Linked DNA regions of Pelodiscus sinensis. Each later gene encodes a partner of the first gene's protein in a complex. Links are inferred from orthologs where the notes say so. Each region holds a gene or a part of one and is shown on either strand. Other genes may lie near its edges.

The links. Proteins that work in one complex are often made in the same cells at the same time.
Region 2: TADA2A (region 1) and TAF12 share a complex: the UniProt entries of both Homo sapiens proteins name them as parts of the PCAF complex. The link is inferred for Pelodiscus sinensis from reciprocal best matches to the Homo sapiens genes TADA2A and TAF12.

What each region holds. Positions count from the first base shown.
Region 1 is NC_134731.1:8,814,901-8,825,337, reverse strand, and holds the start of TADA2A (transcriptional adapter 2-alpha), read right to left. Parts: upstream 3,996-10,437; 5' UTR 3,840-3,995; intron 711-3,839; 5' UTR 3-710; coding exon 1-2. Other genes in the region: C21H17orf78 (uncharacterized protein C17orf78 homolog), read right to left, coding at 8,700-8,798, 10,068-10,198. UniProt on the Homo sapiens protein: Component of the ATAC complex, a complex with histone acetyltransferase activity on histones H3 and H4. Required for the function of some acidic activation domains, which activate transcription from a distant site. Binds double-stranded DNA.
Region 2 is NC_134735.1:13,924,549-13,934,745, reverse strand, and holds the start of TAF12 (transcription initiation factor TFIID subunit 12), read right to left. Parts: upstream 4,096-10,197; 5' UTR 3,981-4,095; intron 2,889-3,980; 5' UTR 2,875-2,888; coding exon 2,806-2,874; intron 1-2,805. UniProt on the Homo sapiens protein: The TFIID basal transcription factor complex plays a major role in the initiation of RNA polymerase II (Pol II)-dependent transcription.

The DNA of each region.
Region 1 (10,437 bases):
ATCCTCCTCACACTCTGGTGTTCTTCTTCAGGACAGCAATATAAGCACCTCTCCTTGTACAAGGCTCCTCAGTATAAGATCAACAATTACCAATGTATCTATCAAGGTACCATCCAACTGAAAGAGAGTAGGCTGTTGTGCAACCCTTTGAACAGATAAGCTCTTCTGAGACTACACCAACTACTCATGCAAATGAGCGGTCATAATGCAACAGGGACCATTTGACATGACTGAAAGTCTGTTCTCTGCAGTTGAGACACGAAACCAAAAACCGAAAGACACAATTCATAGTATTAAGAAATCTGGAACTCCAGGATCATAACTTATCTGAATAAAAGATTGATGTGACCCCCAAAAAAGTGGTGATTGTCAAGTAACTGTATCATCATGAATCTTGAAAACTTTGTTACAAGATGTTCTTCATTAGCTCTGCAGAACCATGAGCTGTGCCTTTATGATTTTATATATTTGTCAGAGGCAGATTTGGACTCTTCCTTACTGCTTAATTTGATTAATAAAAGGGTCACTGCAGCCCTGAGAATTGAGAACAGAAATGTCCTTCATGGAGTAGGGAAAGTTTCCTTTAGGAACATGCTCATCACAGCTAAGATAGTGGACTTTATAGAACCGATAACTGCTTTTGAGAGTTGTGAGTTGGCTGGCTGTATATTCTCCCCTTCTCATGCAACAGTCCCAGGGCAACTATATTCCTGTCAAAAAAGAAAATAAGTAATTTAATTCAAGGATCCAAGTGCTTTACAAACATTAAATGGTGCACCCACAAGGAATTATTTTAGAGAGGTAAGTAGCAGCTCCAATTTATTGATAAGGAAACTAAGAACAAGGAGGAGAAGTAACTTGCTCAAGATCACAGAGCAAACCAGTTATAAACCTCAGAGCAGAGCCCAGAGTCCTGATGCAGATCTGAAATGTGATCCAAAGACTACAGCAAAGTTTCCAGCAGGAAGCAGGACAGCAGTAAAACTCAGACCTCCCCAAAGTAAGATAGAATTTTGTTAGAAACTTGTTACTTGAATCTATTTTAATCAAAATTGATTCCCACCCAAGATCCTTTAATACAGTGGTCCCCAACACGGTGCCCGTGGGCGCCATGATGCCCACCGGGGCATTTGTGTGCGCCCGCCGACAACCTGGGCCAGCCCCGCCCGCGGCGCACGGGTGGCGCCGGCCCCAGGCGCTCGACATGCACCGGCACCGGGTTCGCGGCACTCGGGCGGCCCCAGCCCCGGGGCATATGCAGGCGCTTGGGCACGCGGCGCTCGAGCGGCGCCGGTGCCAGCCCCAGGCGCGCGGCTCGGGCGGCCCCAGCCCCGGCCCTAGAGCACATGCCGGTGCCGGGTGCAAGGGCATCCCAGTCGCCTGGCGTGCTCCCGGACGCGCGGTCCTGCCCCCGGGCGCCCGGCGCGTGAGTTGCCCCGCCCCCGGGGCTGGGAGCCTCTAAAGGTTGGGGACCACTGCTTTAATAATATAAATTTCACTCTTGTGAAACATTTAAAATGTAGCAGTAGTAACAAACAAACAAAAAACTAAATGGAGGACTGCAATAGATATGTATGCTAGAATAAACAGCTACTAAAATTAGGTATGGGATAAAGACCCTTTCAACTATATGCAAGCATAGGAAAGACAAAGAGTGTACTCTAGTCCAGTGTTTCTTAATCTTTTTGATACCTGGCCTCTGCCTTCCTAAACTGTGTCAGGGAGATCTCAGGGAGCCAGCACCACAGATCACTCCCTGAGAAACACTACTTTCGTCTAGAACAGTAGTAGGCTGCATGCTCCCCTTCAGGGTTCTTGTGTGGCCCACGAGACATTTAGTTTATTATTGCCCTTGCACAGGGTTGCCAGATTCTGCTGGGTTCAATCCGCATATTACTAAAGTGGCATGCTTGTAAAGCAAGGGTGGAGAACCTTTTTGGGGCGGGGGCTGCTGACCCACATAAAAATCAGTCAGGTGGGAGGCAGTGGGGGTCTGGAATGCCAGTGCAGTCTTCCCAATGGGGGAGGGGAGGAGCCCCGAGCCCCTGGGGGCCAGATCTAGGCAAGCTGGGGGACTGCATTTGGCCCCTGGGCCTTAGGTTCACCATCCCTGTTGTAAAGCAAGGACACATGGAATGATGTGAGCGCTGATTGCACTAGGGATGTTAAAGACTAGTCGACCTTCCGATAAGCAAATGCTTATCAGATAGTCAGTCAACTAGTCAATTCCTCCTGCTTTGCTGCCTCTATCAGAGTCAGTAAAGGGGGGGGGAGAAGGGGTACTTCAAAGAAGAGGTACTCCAAGGAGGCATTTCAAAGGGGGCTGCCCCTTTAAAACACCACCTCTGGCATTTCAAAGGGGCAGCTGCCAAGGAGCCCGGGGTCAGCTGGGGACTCCCCAGCTGATCTGGGTTCCACTGTAATTCTGCATGGAACCTGAGGTCAGCTGGAGAGTCCCACGCTGACCCTGGGCTCCATGGCTTTGAAATGCACAAGAGTCCCTGCTGCGGACTCTTGTACATTTCAAAGCAGACACGCCAGTGTGGAGCCCAGAGTCAGTGGGACTTCCCACTGGCCCCGGCTGCAGGCGGAGTTCTGCATTCCTCCTTTGAAATGCACAAAAACCCCAACAGGGCTCTTGTGCATTTCAAAGGAGGAATGCAGAAGTGCCTATCGAGTAGTCGATGGAAATTCCATCAACCACTCGACTAGTCAATTAACCGCAATTTAACATCTCTAGAGTGCACACTACATTGACTGTGACAGTCGTGCATGTCCTCTGCCTCCGATCGAAATGCTGCTACAGTTCAATCGGCGCCCCTGCAAATGCTAGATAGGGAAGCACAGTTAGCAAAACTACCCTACCCCACGAAATCGTCTTGGTTACAACAATCTTGTGGCTCACTGAGATGACTAAGCCTGCAAGACTTCTTTCATGCTGCCTCTTATGCTGGGAGAGTTCTTCCTGATCGTGTGCATCATATCACCTTTATTTCCTTCTTCTGACCCTCCCCACGCACCCCCTCTCTTCCAGACCCCCCCTCCAGACTCTGCATCTTCATCCTCCTCCTGCATCTTCCACCCTTGCAGACCCTACTCCCTCAACCCCAGTCCACACCTGCACCCTACCTCCTGCCCACAACCCGAACTCCTACCCCCAGCCCGCTCCTGGCAGCCCCCTCCTGCACACTGAACCCCTCCTTTTTGGCCCTGCCAAACAAACCCTAGTAGCCCCAGGCTCTGGAGGAGTTAATTTGGCCCTAGGGCCTCCCCATGGGGCTGAAGCTTGAGGGGAGTTTTTTCCCCCTGATTCTGAGGGGGGGGGCTACATCTGGGAGGGTTTTTTTTCTCCTCAGGGGGCCAGGACACTAAGAGGGTTTTTTTGTGCTTCTCTTTTGTGTGTGGCCCCCAACTGATGTTTTGATGGGTCTGTGCCCCCCCCCCCCCCCAAAAAAAAAGTTCCCCACCCCGGGCTTACTGGGACCACTGTTCCCAACCCCTCCTCCAGGAACCAGTAGGGACCCTACTGCCCTCCCCCTTCCCTGTGGGACCCGCCCCTCCCCCGCCCAAGCCCCGCCCACCCCAGCAAGCCCCGCCCCTGAAGTCCACGCGGCGGCGGTTTACCCCAGTGCCCCCTAACGGAACAGCAGGGGAGGCGCCGCGCTCCCGCCAGAGCGCGCATCTGAGGTGGCTGGGAGCGCGCAGCCACCGCCTGCCTAAGCTCGCACCCCCCTCTCCGCTTCACTTGGTATCTTCCTACTTCTCACCCCCTCCCACCCCGCCCCGCCGCCGCATGGTCTCTCCCGGGCTCGCGGCCCGCTTTGCCCCCAGCCCGTCACCTCACGCCGGCTTCGCTCAGGCCCCGAGCCCGACTCCGCTCCAGTCCCAGCGGCCGTCCCCACGTGCTCAGGCTCGGCGCGGCTGGGCACGCGTACGTGCGCGCTCACGAGGCGGGCGGGGGGGGGGGTGTGTGAGGCTCGTGCCCTCACGCCGCGCGTTTGGGTCACGTCGCCGGTGGCGTGTGGCACTGCAGCCGGGGGCGGGTCGACCTCGGCACGGAGGCTGTGAGGGGAGGGCTGGCGTGAGAGGGGGCGGGGTTGGGCTCGCAACGGTGAAAAGGGGCAGCGGGGTCGCACCGCGGGAGGCTGGAGTTGGGGGGGGTCGCACCGTGGGGGAGGAGGAGCGATGGGGTTGGGGGGTCGTACTGCGAGAGGAGGGGGGGAGGAGCGGTGGGGTTGGGGGTCGCACTCTGTGAGGCGAGAACTGGGGGGGGAGGAACGGTGGGGTTGGGGGGTCGTACTGCGAGAGGAGGGGGGGAGGAGCAGTGGGGTTGGGGGTTGTACTGTGGGGGGGGAGGAGCGGTGGGGTTGGGGGTTGCACTGTGGGGGGGGAGGAGCGGTGGGGTTGGGGGTTGCACTGTGGGGGGGGAGGAGCGGTGGGGTTGGGGGTCGCATCGTGGGGGGGGGAGGAGCGGTGGGGTTGGGGGTCGCATCGTGGGGGGGGGGAGGAGCGGTGGGGTTGGGGGTCGCACCGTGGGGGGGGGGGAGGAGTGGTGGGGTTGGAGTCGCCCCGTTGGCAGCACGGGGCTTGTGGAGTTTGACATCATTGATTGTGGTGAAGATTTGTTTGTTTTGCTTTTTTGTTTTGTTTTGTTTGTAAAACCAAGGCACCCTTTAGGCTGTGTTTAGAAGTATGCCTGAAAACCATCTGCAGGCACCAAGGTTCGTCTCTGGACTTTGGCAACGTGTAGTTCCTGCAAAGCTGCAGAATAATAATTATGGGTAAATAGTTTCCTCCTTGCTAGCACTGTTAAATAATGAAACTGGGGTCTGGCCAGTCTCCCTCCCCCTCTGTGCTGCAGCCTTGGCAATACATAAAGAGTTCAGATTTACTTGGGTCTCTTCATTGGCAGGAGAGCTTCAATTTATATTAATTTGAAGGCTATTGTTTATATTTATTTTTGCAACATGGGGGTCCCTGCACACATCTGCAGCCAGGTGTGACTCTCAGGCAGCAGGTAGAACAGAAGGTTCATTAGTTCTCAGGGATACAAGGTAAAACATATTTGTTAGTACAGGAACCAAAAGCAGACAGTACAATCCACCTTGAGGAAAAGGGGGGCCTGGAGCCAGGGCCCTCCCTCTGTATCTTAAGCCAGCGGAGACTAACTCACTCCGCAGCCCGACCCAGCTTTATAGGCAGCCCCACTTCTTCCTTTGTTCAGCTTCCTGAGCTTAAGGTGTCACCTGTTTGCATCTCCCTTCCAGGCTCACCTTACAGTGAACCTGGGCCATTGTGACCGTGCTAGCCTGGTCAGCCTCCCCTCAGTGAGAGTCACACCCAAAATTCCCATCTCCAATTTGGCACTGGTGCTATGCCCAGGGAAACAGATCCACACACAAAGTTACTACAGTGCAGGACAACAGAAATCACATGCAACATAAAGCGGACAGAGCGAATGGAACCCCCACTTTGTCACATCCATGTTACAAGTGAAACATTTAAATGCTTGCCCTTTATTTAATTTTTATTCTGCATTCACTCAACTAAATTACTCTTAATTCTGTCTGGCAGATAAATTAGTTTGGCCTGGTTCTCAGCTCTAATTTTACTTCCTAGTACATCTATCTGAGGAATAATCTGTAAAAACAGCAGACACGTGACACATGGCCATTATTTAGCCATGTTATAAAATAGGGATGAGATCCTATCTGTACTACATGTTGGCACAATTTTGAATCTGGGTTAGAATCTGTGTACTGCTTTGTTGCAACCACTTTACTTAACTGTCTATATTTGTAGCATAAATGACCATACATGAGTCTCCTGTTTCCATTGTAATGAATGGAACTTGATGATAACCACTTACAGCAGGGGTTTGCATCCATGTAATTACATTGATGTAGTTCTCATGTAGACAGGGCTCTTAATTAAGTAAGCTGATACTTATATTGTCACCTTTTGACTTCCTAGTAATATGAGTTTACATATCTGAGAGCAAGTATATCACAGACTTTAGAAGATAGAGCTGGATTAAATAACATTTGGGAGGTTTTTCCCTAAATCATAAAGGCTTACGTATTACAGGCAGCATTAATCTCTGCAGAATGTTATGTTGCTGTAAGGGTCAGAGGAATGCACAAAGCAGTATGTGTGCTAGAAAGAATGATATGGATGCTCAGATATCAAAAGGGGGAGAGGATAGCCCATAAACTTTGGTAAGAAGAAAATGTTTGTTTTAATGAAATCTTCCAAACCAAAAAACAATGATCCTTTCCAAAACCTGTGTATCTTTGTGTCAGTGGAATAACAAGTAATTAATGTTTTCCATGGACTGGCGTCTGTTTTCCATTGGTAATAGTCATTCTATTATCCGTTTAGCTGAAAATAACACACAGTTCCTGCAAATATGCTAAACACCAGTACATCACCCCTTCATGATAGACTCTGCCAGGACTTTTCATAAGTGATCTAGTAAGGTGACATGGATGACAGTTATGAGTCTTGGTACAGAAGAAGGTGCATGATGGAGAGTGAGAATAGGCTAGGAAGAAGAGTGAGGAATGAGACAGGATATAAGGATGACATGAAGGTGGATATGTAGGTGGCAGGCAGTGATCCAAAGGTTTGAGATGAAGATGAGAAATAGAGATTGTGAGTAGTTCTAGTCCTGCTCTCTGCTCAGCACAATTTATTGCATTTGCTGTTTGAAACTGATTCCTTTTGGAATTTGGAAATTCCACATCATGTATAATAAAACTCCTGTCAGTTCCAGAACTTTCCCAAATGTTTTTCAATGCATTTATAGTTCATTTTCCTAGTTATATAATACAGTTTGTATAATACAAATACATTTATGACTAACCTCTGTTCTCTGGAACAAAATCTTTCATGGTGTGACACTGCTAAATTCAGTGGAAATATACAATGGAGGAGTTTAATCTCCACTTTCTGTAGTAGTCCATAAATAAGCTTCCTAAATTGATGAATTCCCAGGTTCCTCCCTGCACCGTTCCCATCCATCTGCAGTCTAGAGCCTTTGTGATCTTTCCCTGACTGCTTCCTAATGCTGTGTTTGTTACATTCTGGTCATCTTGTACTCACTTGACAACTATGTTATCTGTGTTGTGGAGGGGGCTATTGGGGGCACTGAGAGGGATTTGAATGGAGTCAGTGAATCTTGTTTTGCAGAAAGACCTGGGATTTAGAAATGACACAGCTGAGACTCCCTGTAGAATATGGTTACACATGTGCCAGAAATTTCATAATTTATCCCCTGTAGCACAGTAATATTCTAGTGGCGTAACACCAGGATCACTTTGGGCGTGTTTACTGCAGCATCGCTCTTCTGGGTCAGTCAAATACATTTTTATTTATTATGACTGCATCTGATGTCCGAAGGTCTCGCGGAGATTAAGGCAAATTTGTACAGATTTTTATATACACATATGTATGCACTGATTATTCTAAATAATATTTCATGCTTTCAAATATATTGTTATGTTCTGGTCATGCAGTAAGCTCTGCAGAGGTGTCCACCTATTTTCTGTAAGATTGGTATTGTAGCTAGTAGCAATTGCCTCTTCCAAACAACCAAAACTTCCTAAAAAAAAGTTATTGTCGCTATTCAAATGTGACATGTTTTTATGCCTATTGTGATGTTAATTTTGTCTGAAATTTTGTATGTCCCCATGGAGGATGGGTGATGCTGATTTAGAAAGACAGAATCTAGATTGCTTAGAGGAAGTGTTCTTTTCGCAATTAGGCTAGAAGGCCACTTTTATTCATTTTTTGCAGATCTTTGGCATTTAATTATTTACACAAGATTTTGAAATGAAGTGTGTTCTCTTTTGCAGGCTTCAAATGTTGCCTTCAGCCATTCATCTGTGAACATACAACAGGGGTGGTCAATAATTTTTGACGGGGGACCATTCCAAGATTTTTGGAATGTGATTGAAGGCCATACTTTTCCAGAATATTAATGGAGGAGGTGAGGGGTCTGGGATGGAGGTTGAGTACAGAAGGGAGCTTTGGATACGGGATTGGGGTGCAGCAGGGAGAATGGGGTCTCAGAGGGAGTTTGGGTGAAGAAGACGGGACTGGGATGCAGGATTTTGGGATGTGACCTAGGCTAGGAGGGGATTGTGATCTGAGACAGGAGACTGGGGTGCCAGATCTGGGAGGGGGTATAGGTACAGTAGGGGCAAAGGGTTTGAGTAGGGGGGGGCAGAGGGTTGGAGAAGGGAGGGGCTAGGGTGCCAGAGGCAGGCTCTGCTAGGAGGCATTTACCAGCAGAAACCTAAGGCAGACTGACAGCTGCAGGCTGCTTGCAGCTCCACATGGCTCTGCTGTGGGCATGAGAGGGAAGGGAAAGGGGAAGAAGGATGGATGAGGAGGAAGGGAGAAGGCTTCCTACACTGCCTCTGCTCCCACAAAAATTCTCAGCTCATATTGGCCCAAAACTGAGAGATTGGCCAATGAGAGGTAAGAGATTTTGCTGGGGGGCGGGAACAGCATTAGAAGTCTCCCTCCTCCCTCCCCTGCCATACCAAGTGGATAACAGCTTCTTTTTTTTTAAATGTGAACTGATCTTTGCCTAAGGGTTGAAGGAGATCTGTATTGTTAAATGAAATAATTGTTACTGAACTACATTTAAAAAACTCTGTGGTTCCCTTTTTGTGACCCACCATGACACGTCCTTAAGATGATACAGAATTTGGGATGTCTGTGCTTTCTCTTTCTTGCCGTTTACATTTCTGAATACAGTTGCATCGCCGGCTCCAACGAAGGCATGGACGCTCAGAAAAGAAACAGAAGCCATTAGAAGGTTGGTAGGAAAGACGTTGACAGACCAAAACACCAAGAATTTGAAGCTAGCATAATGATGATTTGTTTCTAGAAAGACTAATCTGAATTTTGACAAGAATGCACTTCAGAGTGTAAAAGCATGAAACAATGTGGCTTTTGCCCCAGACATCTGCAGCATGGCATATGCCCTCTTGCGGGGGATCTTTGAATAATTAAATCTAGGGCCTACAAAACAACAGAGAGTCCACGTTAACCTGCCTTTTCTTGCAAGTCTTTTCTGTTTTCTCCTCTTCTACCTTTAGAAAATACTTAACTATTCCTCTCCTGGAGTCAAAAGTGTTCCTTTTGAGTGATGTCACTGCAAAACTGTGACAGAAGATTATAAAATTGTTTCCTTCCTATTTTGATTTAAATGCAACACCCCCACAGTGCTGTTTGTGTCTGTGCAGGTTTGGAGAGCAATGAGTCAGTCCAACAGATAAGCCTAAATTTCCCACAATCCAAAAGAGAGCCTGAATAACCTGTGTGTCTGATTGCATCTCATATGAAATCTCAAGGTTGCAACTGTGCTCAGGGATTGTATACAGGCAGTCCCTGGGTTACGTACAAGATAGGGACTGTAGGTTTGTTCTTAAGTTGAATTTGTATGTAAGTCGGAACGGGTACATATTGTAGGGGAAACTCTAGCCAAACATTTCTCCAGAGCTCAGTTTTATTCTCCCACACCACATTTCCCTCAATCCTTTATTCTCAAGCTGAGGTGTCTGCTGAGAAAAGCCGCTCCGTGTCTCCCTAGTCTGCTGGGGGGGAGCGCTAGCTTCGCGTCTCCCTGGTCTGCTGAGGGGAAGCAGCTAGTGCGGGGTTGCCTCACCCCGTTTGTAAGTAGGGATCCGATGTAAGTCGGATCCATGTAACCCGGGGACTGCCTGTACTCTATTAGCAACAGGCAAAACATGTCATGGTAGGAATTCATATTAAGTGTGAGGAATTGCTTGTTTTGGCAGAGTTCCAATTATGCCATTTTAGGTCATAGACCCTTTCACTAGAGAGTGGTTACTCCAGTGGATCACAGAAATTAGCAATTCTTTTAAAGGCATGAGCTCATAGAACTGAACTTTGTATCACTGGATCCAAAGGCCCTTAAACTCAGATCCTCGCATGTTTTATTATAACAATGGAAAAACTTAAATGATATTTAACTGTCGATAAAATATCCTTTGCAAATTGTCATAAGGGGCTGTGGTGCTCAGCATACTTACTGGAATGGGAACTTCAAATATGACAAACACAATGAAGGCTAGTGCACAAGGTAGCAGGATGCATGTAATTGCTGCTTTGAAATAGATGCTTTGTCTTTGTCTTTGTCTGAGCATCTTGTCTTCCTCTATGCCTGTGATTAGAAATGGAAAAAAATTCTCTCTGAATTAGATAAAATGCAGAAGACAGCGTGTTCCTCATTCATAGTTTGAGGATTTCTTCATCTAGGACAGTAATGCAGTACAGCCAAATCTGATAGAACATTTCATTAACACTTAGTCTTTTTGACATCCTTATCTGAATATATCATTTTAGAATGGTTCATGCTTAATTGAAAGATAAAAAGCAAGAGCATACTTCCAATGAGAGAAA
Region 2 (10,197 bases), on another chromosome or scaffold:
GTAAAGATGTATATTTAGCAATTGGATCCCACTCCCTAAAAGGCAGCATCAAGAGAGGTTTGCAACTTAATCTGATATTTCTCACCATAGAGGGGAGGAAGGACAAGGGTGAAAAAAAGAAAAGATTTAAAAAACATATTAAAAACAAAACTTTAATGGAAGGCATTACGGTTGCACAGAGTTCACTGAATAGAGAACTGATGAGGAATATAAAGTCTGAGCCAGCCGGATAACATCCTAAGAACATTGCATTCCTTTTTCCAGTCCGACACCAAAATTCCATCAGTGACTGAATCCTACAGACAAGAAAAAGGTTTTTTCCCTCTTCTCTTACTTGTGCCTCTTTGGTGGCAGCGTTAGGCCTCCACACTTACTTCTAACTGGCAGATCAATGACATCACCTCCTGAGGTCTAGCTTAGGAACGGTCTTTTTGTTCTGTGTTTGTACAGTGCCTAGCACAAAGGGACCTGGTCTAGAACTGGAGTATGTAGGTCCTAATAATACAAAGACTGCATTTTTACATTTCAGACATCTTGGGAAGAGGGAAAAGCGGAGTACAATTCCTCATGTAGCTGCACTGTCTACAGCCAGGTACAGAACAGGAAGGCACTGTTCTAGCATTTGCCACACAACACCAACAAGGCATTTCAAGTCTCACCAGTAATTATTCCCAAACCAAGATATTTCCAGTAGTATGACAGTTTGTAATGAGAATATATTGAAGATTGGCCTAAGCCCTGAAATTCAATTTCACCTATAGACCTTGTCAGCATTAAGTCAGGCCTCCAAAAGTGACAGGACAGTAGAAAATCCACCTCTGCCTCAAATTCCTTTGATTTATATATCTGATTCCTCATTTCAATTCAGGTTTTCAGCTGCACAATATGGAATTTGGTAGACTGTCAAGCAAAGGCCTGGATTTACTAATTTCATATACCTAACAGCCTGCTCTTTCCAGATTAGCAATAAGGTTCTTGGACTAACTCATGTCATAGGCCACTAGACACTTTGATTACTTTTGGACTGAATTAGAACTGGCAACCTAGATTAGTAATTAGGCTCAGACTACTAGCATACTACTTACCCTTAACCCACCACTTTGGACTTTCTTGTAGTCAAATCTGTGGCCCACAACTCCATAATACATGTTGAACCTCTCTAGTCCAGCACCCTCTGGACCTGACCAGTGCCAAACCAGAGAATTTGCCAAACCATGGGAGATCAATATTGTCTAGCAGCATTACCAACACTTCCACTGGTTACTGGGCTCTTAGAAGATATTTGGGGGTAAATTAGAGCTAAACAACAGCATAGAACACTGACAGCCAGGACTGGTGGCTGTAAAAAAAAAAAAAAAGTATGAATTGTGGGAAACTTGTCCACACCCATAAGTGGACATTCGGCTAACTAAAATCATGTTAGACCATGGATGTTGTTGTACCAGAGTGCCAGCCTACAGAGGTTCAACCTTTAGCACTGCTCTCTTCAAACCTGTGTTCTTCAATTATCACCCAAAATGGTCAAGGAAAACTGCAGTGATTAGAATATACAAATATTTATTAAATTGCTTGAATTAAGAGGTTTCACATGCTTTTACAAGTCTTTCATCATTCTATCTCAGTTCAATGAATGGAGTTGTCAATGGTAGCTGAAATTTTGCTACTACTTCAAACCAAAAAGTAGGTTGTTACATAGAAAATGCATCTCACTATTTTAAATCACATACATTAAGCTGTGAAATGATTTAAGTGGAAACTTTAATAACAGTCTGTATTAACTCTGAAAAATCTTATTGCCTACATAATTGAGACAACTGCATTTTCTGTTTTGGAACATAAAATGGATGTTATGACAATTTTTGTATTTCTGACTTTTGTTTTAAGCAATTTATTTTCCATAATTAGATTTTGGGGTCTCAAATACTCTTTACTGCAGTTTTCCTTAAACTTTTCTACAAAACAGCACTCTTTGGAAATTTCTTTGTTCACAGTGACACAAATGATGCAAGCTGAAAACTAGCTACAGGTACCAGGAAAAAAAAAAACACACAGAACATTTACATAAAAACCAAGGGAAATAATATTTTCTACTTTTTTGTAGAAAACGTGATTTTCCCCTATAACAGCATTTGATTTTTTGTTAGTTTGTAATAATTCACACAGAAAAGTCACTCTTGAAAAATAATCACACAAGAATGCTTAAGACAGTGGATATTTAGTGTTTCATTCCAATGCTCAAAGTCATGCACTGCTGCAAACATATTACATACATTTTTCTTTTTAAAAAGAAATATAAATGCAAGTAACTTCACGTAGCTCTGATAGCAATTTTAGCCCAATGTGAACAGATCTGAAAATGATGAAAAGTCTCTACATTCATGCCTTGGGATGTTCTTCAGTCATACAGAGCCCTGTAAGCTCTTAGTTGGCAACTCTGGAGCGAGGTCCTGTTTTCTGGAGCATAGCTCAAGAAGCAGAAGAGAGGACTCCAGTGTACTATTCTTACTTTTGCCACTAGCTTGCTGATGATCTTGGGCCAGTCACTTAACCCTGTGCACTTCAGTTTACAAAACCACAAAGTAGGAAATCTTACCTACCATGGAGGCATCAGAAGATGATGCGTGAAATGCTTTGAAATCCTTGGGCAAAAAGCACTATATTAATGCAGAGTAATGTTTACTCTCACTTCTAATTTTAACCTTTGGGTATAATCAAGGCATCAGAAAACAAAGCAAATGTGGATGCACAGGTTTTAACCTCAAGTTCTACATGCCAATTCATGGCAAGCTCAAGCAATTTACTTACAGCTATCTGAGTATCTAGTTCTTTAATTACATCAGCAACTGCTGTGGGCCCAGCGAATGGAGAGGCCATTTTCCAAAAGCTCCCTGTAAGCAAATAGCCAGTGTTAACCTTGACTTCCCTCCTCCTGTTCTACATACTTCTCATTCTCATGACACCAGCTATTTTGCATGTCACCTACCTTATCAAATGCAAATCAAAATGAAACAAATTTCAGCAAACAGTACTCACCACAACACAAGCATCTTTTGTCCTTATTAAAATGATCAAATGCAATTTTCTGGGCATTGAATACAAAGCTTTACTTTAAACAGCAATCGTGAACCTAATATTTCTTGTCTTCTCAAATGGCAAGTTATTCTCAGGATCCTCAAGGGAGAAGCTTATACTTATGTCAAATCTTCATTTTTAGATACAGGGCTAGTGGGTATTGGAGTAGAGAGCAGCTGAGTACAGATTTTTGAAACAGTAGCCTTCCTTCACATCAGGACTAGGCCCCATGGCATGTACTAATGCCACTGGTCCCTGACTAATAGGTACTGCAACTGACTAAATAGCATTATCACACCAATATGCTAAATGCAACATTACTTATCTACAGCAACAAGACAACTTGAGGAATCGTTCATCAGAGTGCTTGCAGCTTCTAATTCCAGGAAGAAAAGATATTTAGCAAAGAAATCTCTACACAGAATTTAAAAGTAATCTGCAAAGGATCTTTTAAAGTATTTGTTTTGGCTTCTTTAATCACGTAAAAAGACAGACTGAAAGTTTTCTTTACAGCTTTTTAATTTAGAAAAATCTCAGACGTTTGAACATCCCTTGTTTTGTCAGAGGACCTCTTTGGAAGTGGTGGATCTCCCAGGAGAGGTACCTTGCAGGTTCGTGTACATGAAGTGTGGTGGCAGGATTGGCTGACTCTAGGGATGTTAAAATGCGTGTAAGTAACTGTAGCGGCTGAAAACATTTCCGCAGTTACACGCGGGGCACCACGGCTCCCACCTGCCCACCCCCGCCGCTGCCTCTTCTACAGAGGCCTATCTGGTGACGGCCCAACCGCTACCCCTGCCTCCGGGAGCGCGGGCAGCCCTGAGCCTCCTGCCCCGGCGCGGGGCGGGGGGGAGCCCTTAACCCCGCGAGCAGCCTCGTCCCCCGCCGAGGGACGGGCCCGCACTCACCGGTGCCCCCCTGCTATCGCCCCATGTTCCGCGGGCGGACCCCCCCCGCCTCAACCGCCGCTGCTACAGCGCTGCTGCCGGCTCTGCGCCACTCGCCGCCTGCGGGAGCGTCCTTCCGGTGCCGCCCGGAAACACTCACCGCCGCGGCCAACCAGCGCCTCCCCGGCACAGCGGGACAGGAAACGACACATGCGCACTCCGAGCAAATCCAGCCCAGAAGGCGCGTGCGTGACCTCCGACATCCCGAGAGGGCACCGGCGCCAGTTTCCCGTCATAGACTGCGCATGCCCCACAGCCGCTGGCGTGTTCCTATGGCAACCCTTCAGCCTCCCCATGTGACCTCGGGCAGCCCCCTCCCCCAAACAGCGAGGCTCCCCCACCGCGATTCAGCGCGGTCCCCACGGCCGGGCGGGGCCGGTAGCAGCCAGTGGGCCCCGCAGGGAGCCGGGACATGATCCATGTGGAGCGCCTGGCCCCGGGGGTCCTAGTCTGCGGCTGCCCCGCCTGAGGTGTGAAGGGAGGGGCCCGAGGTACGGTCAGACCTGGTCTCAATTCGGTTTCAGTTCGGATGGGGAGGGGGTCGGCGCTGGGAGACGGTTGGCAGAAAGGTGGGGGGGGGGGCGGGGAGAGCCGTGCAGGGCCGTGTGGTCCCCCCCCCCTCCCCAACTAGGGCACTGACTGTGAAGAAGGGCGCCAGAGAGGGAGTGGAGGGAAGGAAAAAGGAGCGAGCCAGTGAATAGAGCCAGTGAATAGAGCAATGGGGAAAAGACCCAGAGCAAGGGAGAGGCTGAGGGCAGCCAAAGAAAAGTGCTACAGATAGAGCCACGCAGCAGGCTGTTCCCCAGCTCCACACCCTTACATCTGGGTGAGCAGGCTTTCTCAGGGTGGGGGAGTATAGCTCAGTGGGAGAGCATTTGACTGCAGATCAAGTGGTCCCTGGTTCAAATCCAGGTGCCCCCTTTAAAGTGTTCCCTTTTCCAGCCCTCCAGTTTCTCCTTCATGCCCCTCACCTGGGGTTTGGCGGAAGCTTTTTACCTTGTCTTGAGCTGCAGCAAGACTCCTCCTCCCCCTCACTCCGGCCCCGCCCCTCCTCCGGCTCCTCTCTGCGTCATCTATGGTGAAATCCCAACATGCCATGCGGCTTATTTGCATCTCATGCCTGCTGTGGTGCGCGTATTTTAAGGATTAATGAGTGACGCACAGTAACATACATGCAAGAGACGTGGCGGGCCTAAACGGGGTGCTTGTGCGATATAATGTCACGGTCCCTCAGGGGAGCCGAACCAGCATCTCCCTGTAACTTTCAAGTCTGACACACAGACTGGGGAGGCGGAGCCGCCAGCGACTCGTTAAAAAGGGCTTCTGTCATGTATGACACATGGAGTGGGGTGGCTGCGGCTTTCCTTACTTCGTGCGGAATCGACATCAAGAGATTTCGGAAGCACAATTTTTGTTCCTGGGGCTGCTGGTAATCGTTGGTTCCGGCGCCCCGAAGTTGTCTGTTAAAATTAGAGTTAGTTTGTCTGTTGTGCGTACTGCGGGAGCGATCTTTTCTGCTTTTGCTATTTCTTTGGGGTCTGCTCGCTAATATATGTGAGTAGTTTGTAAGGGAAGGTATTGTCGGGAACCCTGTATTTCACAAAAGCCTCTTTAAATTCTCGCTCGGCTATACCCGCTTTTCATTTTTGCCCTTTCCACGAACTTTCGCGCGTGCGTGGGAGACACATATTTGAAATACTTAGTAAAAGGTAGTGACTACGTTCCTAGTTCAGAAACTATTTTTACTTCAAATAAAAATATAGTTGTCCCCTTTGCTTTAAAACCTGTTGTGATTTTCCAGACAGGAAGTACATTCATCCTATGGCATTTCTTTGCTTTAGATAATTAACTACCTAGATCAGAATGTCTGTATGTTTCCTTCCCTGCTCTGTTTTTTTTGTGCGTGGCATTGCTGTTTGCTAAATGCTGACGGAGGCATTATTTATCCATTCCTGCAATTCAATTTTATTGAAGCATTACTTGGGGAGGGGGGAGGAGGATTTGTTATTAGATACATGCAGTTATTTTAACAGAGGGCCATTTAGCAGAGTGAAATTAAAGTTGGTTTCCCTGTCTGAGTTTAGTCCCTTTCAGATTTTCCCCTATCAAGGGTAAAAAACAGCTGTCCCACTCCCATAATTTTGCTGCCATCTGCAAAACACTCCCAGGAAATGATCTTTTGACTGGCACAGCATCTGAATCAAAGAGAGGGGGTCTAATGGGTTATCCAAAGATGCTGCTGAAATAATTCCTCTGGGGGCTTGGATTATTCTTGTCTTCCTTGATTAGGGCTGATCAGGGGTTCAGCTTGCCTCCCAGTGCAGATTAAATGCAGATCTCTTGCTGGGCACAGTACTATGTTTAATGCATTTGTTCACTGTTTCCATACTGTGTGGCTACGTCTACACCGGCATCCTTTTCCGGAAATGCTTAAAACGGAAGTTTTCCGTTATAAGTATTTCCGGAAAAAGCGCGTCTACATTGGCAGGATGCTTTTCCGGAAAAGCACTTTTTCCGGAAAAGCGTCCGTGCCAATGTAGATGCGCTTTTCCACAAAAAAGCCCCGATCGTCATTTTCGCAGAACAGTTTTCCGGAAAAGGACTTTTGCCCGAACGGGAGCAGCATAGTTTTTCCGGAAAAGCACTGATGATTTTACAGTAGATCATCAGTGCTTTTCCGGAAAAGCAAGGGGCCAGTGTAGACAGCTGGCAAGTTATTCCGGAAAAGCAGCCACTTTTCCGGAATAAGTGGCCAGTGTAGACACAGCCACTATGTAGCCACATGCACTGTTTGTGTCATTATTTGATAAATAAAAGGTATATAAATATGAGGATTAGATAGATAAAGATTGTTATGGGGACAGATAGCTAAGGGGGTGTACAGGGATGGATGGATAGATTCTATGAAGATTTTTATCTTTTAAATATGAATCTTAAAAATGTTAAAGTCTACATAGTTTAAACGGCAGAACTTTCAAATGACAGGACAAGCGCTAATCTTGTGTGCTGAGGGACTGCACTCAGAAAAGTAACCCAGTAGAAACATCCTGCTATGAGCAACTGTGCACTCCGGATAATGATGCTGAAGGCTCCTGTCAATGCATTGTTTGGAAAAGGGAAGTTTGTGTTAGAAATGCATAAACATTTCCCAGGAAATACTAGATTTGCTCTGCTTGCAAAACATTCACATTGTGAAATTCTCTGGGTACTTGGTTCTTTGACATTGTTTACAAATTTTTGCCATGATTGTCAATGGGATTTTTGCCATTGACTTCAGTGGAGACAGCATTATATCCTTGCAATTTTCAATTTGTTTATTTTTTGGGGGGAGTGAAGGGAGGGAGAGAGGACTGAAAAAACTGAATAGTTTTTCAGTCTTCAAAAACGTTCATTGTTCTGTTTTTTGTTATTTCCTCTCTGTCTTTCCCTTAATTCTCCCCTTTTTCACTAAGAAAAAAAGAAAGGAAGAACTCCCCGAAACTGAAAAATACAAAAAATGTTCAGGTTTTTGATAAAAACCTGAAAAAATGTGGCTGAAACAAAAACTTTAATTTTGGACAAAAACTGTTTTTTTTTTCCTTTTAAAATACTCATAGGCTGTGTCTAGATTGGCAAGCTTTTCTGCAAACTTGCCAGCTGTCTACACTGGCCGCTTGAATTTCCGCAAGAATACTGACAATCATGTAAGAAATCAGTGTTTCTTGCGGAAATACTATGTTGCTCCCATTCGGGCAAAAGTCCTTTTGCGCAAAAGCTTTGTGCAAAAGGGCCAGTGTAGACAGTTGAGATTTGTTTTGCACAAAAAAGCCCCGATCGCGAAAAGTGCTTTTGCTGAAAAGTGTTCGTGCCAATCTAGATGCTCTTTTCCGCAAATGCTTTTAATGGAAAACTTTTCTGTTAAAAGCATTTGTGGAAAATCATGCCAGTCTAGACGTAGCCATAGACAGTATTTTCCCTGCTGGTGCAAATAATTTTTATTGCACAGATGTTAGGGGAAAATGATTACACTGCCTACAGTAACCCACGTCCACAGGCTTTGAGCAGGAGCGCTAGGAAGAAAGTCATTGTAACCAAGCGCATGGATCCTGAAGCCCAGCACATTTTGTAGCCAAGAGGGAGGAGCTGTAAGCTGGCTGCTGCCTCTCGCCTTTCTGTCTTCCTTGGGGGAAGTAACGGAGGCTCAGCTGGTTAAGAGGCCAAGTAAAGGTCTAGGCATTGGGAGGTTTGTGATTTCTTTGAGAGGCAATGTTAGGCCAGAGGAATGAAGACAGAAGAGAGGAGCAGCTGAGTTCTAAACCCATTGCTACCTGTGAGTGACTGTGGGAAATTCACTTTGCCTCCTCGTGACTCGTTTTCCCCACACGTAAAATGGGAATAATGATTCCTAGCTTCCTCCCAGGAGTATTGAAAAGATTAATGAATGAACAGCCATGTACCATACAATGAAAAGCCCATAGATTAATCCCATCAGAACTTCATGGCTTGCCCACAGGAAGCCATTTGTGTCTGTGACAAATAGCATAGTAGGGTAAAAGGCAAAAACTCACTGGAAAACAGAACTGGATGCAACCCGTCACAGGGGAGGAGAAGATAGAAAAAAACCTAACGCTTAATTAATCATAGAATCCTAGGACTGGAAGAGACCAGCCCTCTGCCCAAAGCTCCCTGCCCAAAGCAGGACCAACCCCAACTAAATCATCCCAGCCAGGGCTTTGTCAAGCCGGGACTTAAAAACCTCTAGGGATGGAGATTCCACCCCCTCCCTAGGGAACCCATTCCGGTACTTCACCATGCTCCTAGGTTTCTCCTAATATCTAACCTAGACCTCCCTCACTGTAACTTGAGACCATTGCTCCTTGTTCTGTCACCACTGAGAACACTCTCCAGCCTCTTTAGAAACTCCCTTCAGGGAGTTGAAGGCTGCTATCAAATCCCCCCTCACTCTTCTCTTCTGCTACTAAATAAGCCCAAATCCCTCAGCCTCTCCTCGTAGGCCATTCACAGCAGATACTCCACTGGTGTGAAGCTCCACTGAGCAATGCTGATTTCCATCAGCCAAGGATATGGCCCATTCGTCTTCCAGAAGGACTGGAGCTGGGCAGTTAGATGAGTGGGGTTTTTATTTGGAATCAGTCAATTGCTATCTGGGGAGATCCAGCTACTGTGACCCCAGTGACCCCCAGTTCCTCAGGTACTGTGACCCCCCAGTGAAGCTGATGCACCATGAGGCCTCTGGAACAGCATCCCCAAAACCTGGGGAGCTGCAAAACTGAAGCACTGTAGTCAGTGGGTGTCTTTTGTTGATTTCAATGGAAGATAAATCAGGGCCTTACTGCACATCCCCAGTGGTCTGCTTTCTGACGCCAAGGCCGCATCTAGACTGGCATGATTTTGCACAAATACTTTTAACGGAAAAGTTTTTCTGTTAAAAGTATTTGCGCAAGAGAGCGTCTGTACTGGCATGTGCCATTGCACAAAAGATTTGCTTTTGCGCAAAAGCATCTGTGCCAGTGTAGACGCTCTCTTGTGCAAGAAAGCTCCGATGGCCATTTTAGCCATCGGGCTTTCTTGCGCAAGAAATTAACGTGGCTGTCTACACTGGCCCTCTTGCGCAAGAATACTTGTGCAAGTGGGCTTATCCCTGAGCGGGAGCGTTGGACTATTTGCACAAGAAGCACTGATTTTGTACATTACAAAGTCAGTGTTCTTGTGCAAATACTCGCGGCCAGTGTAGACACAGCCCAAGAGGGTGAAAGGTTTAACACGATCACAATGCTGCAGGGAAGGTGACTGTTTCAGTGAAAACAAACAAGGTAGGTAGACTTGGGATTGGGATGGGTTTTCAAACACCACAAAGGGGCCTTGGTACTGAACTTGAAAAGAGTTGCTCACACACGAAGTCACTTGGGCTATGTCTACACTGGCAGGTTCTTGCGCAAGAACATCTTGCACAAGGATTCTTGTGCAAGAACATGTCCACACTGCCATGTGCTTTTGCGCAAGAGCATCCATGGCAGTGTGGATGCTCTCTTGCGTGAAAAAGCTCTGAGGGCCGTTTTAGCCATAGGGCTTTCTTGTGCAAGACGCTCCTGCTGCGCGTCCACACTGCCCTCTTGCGCAAGAGGGCTTACACTTGTTAGAAAAGAGCATAGCTCTTGCGCAAGAAGCCCTGTCTTCC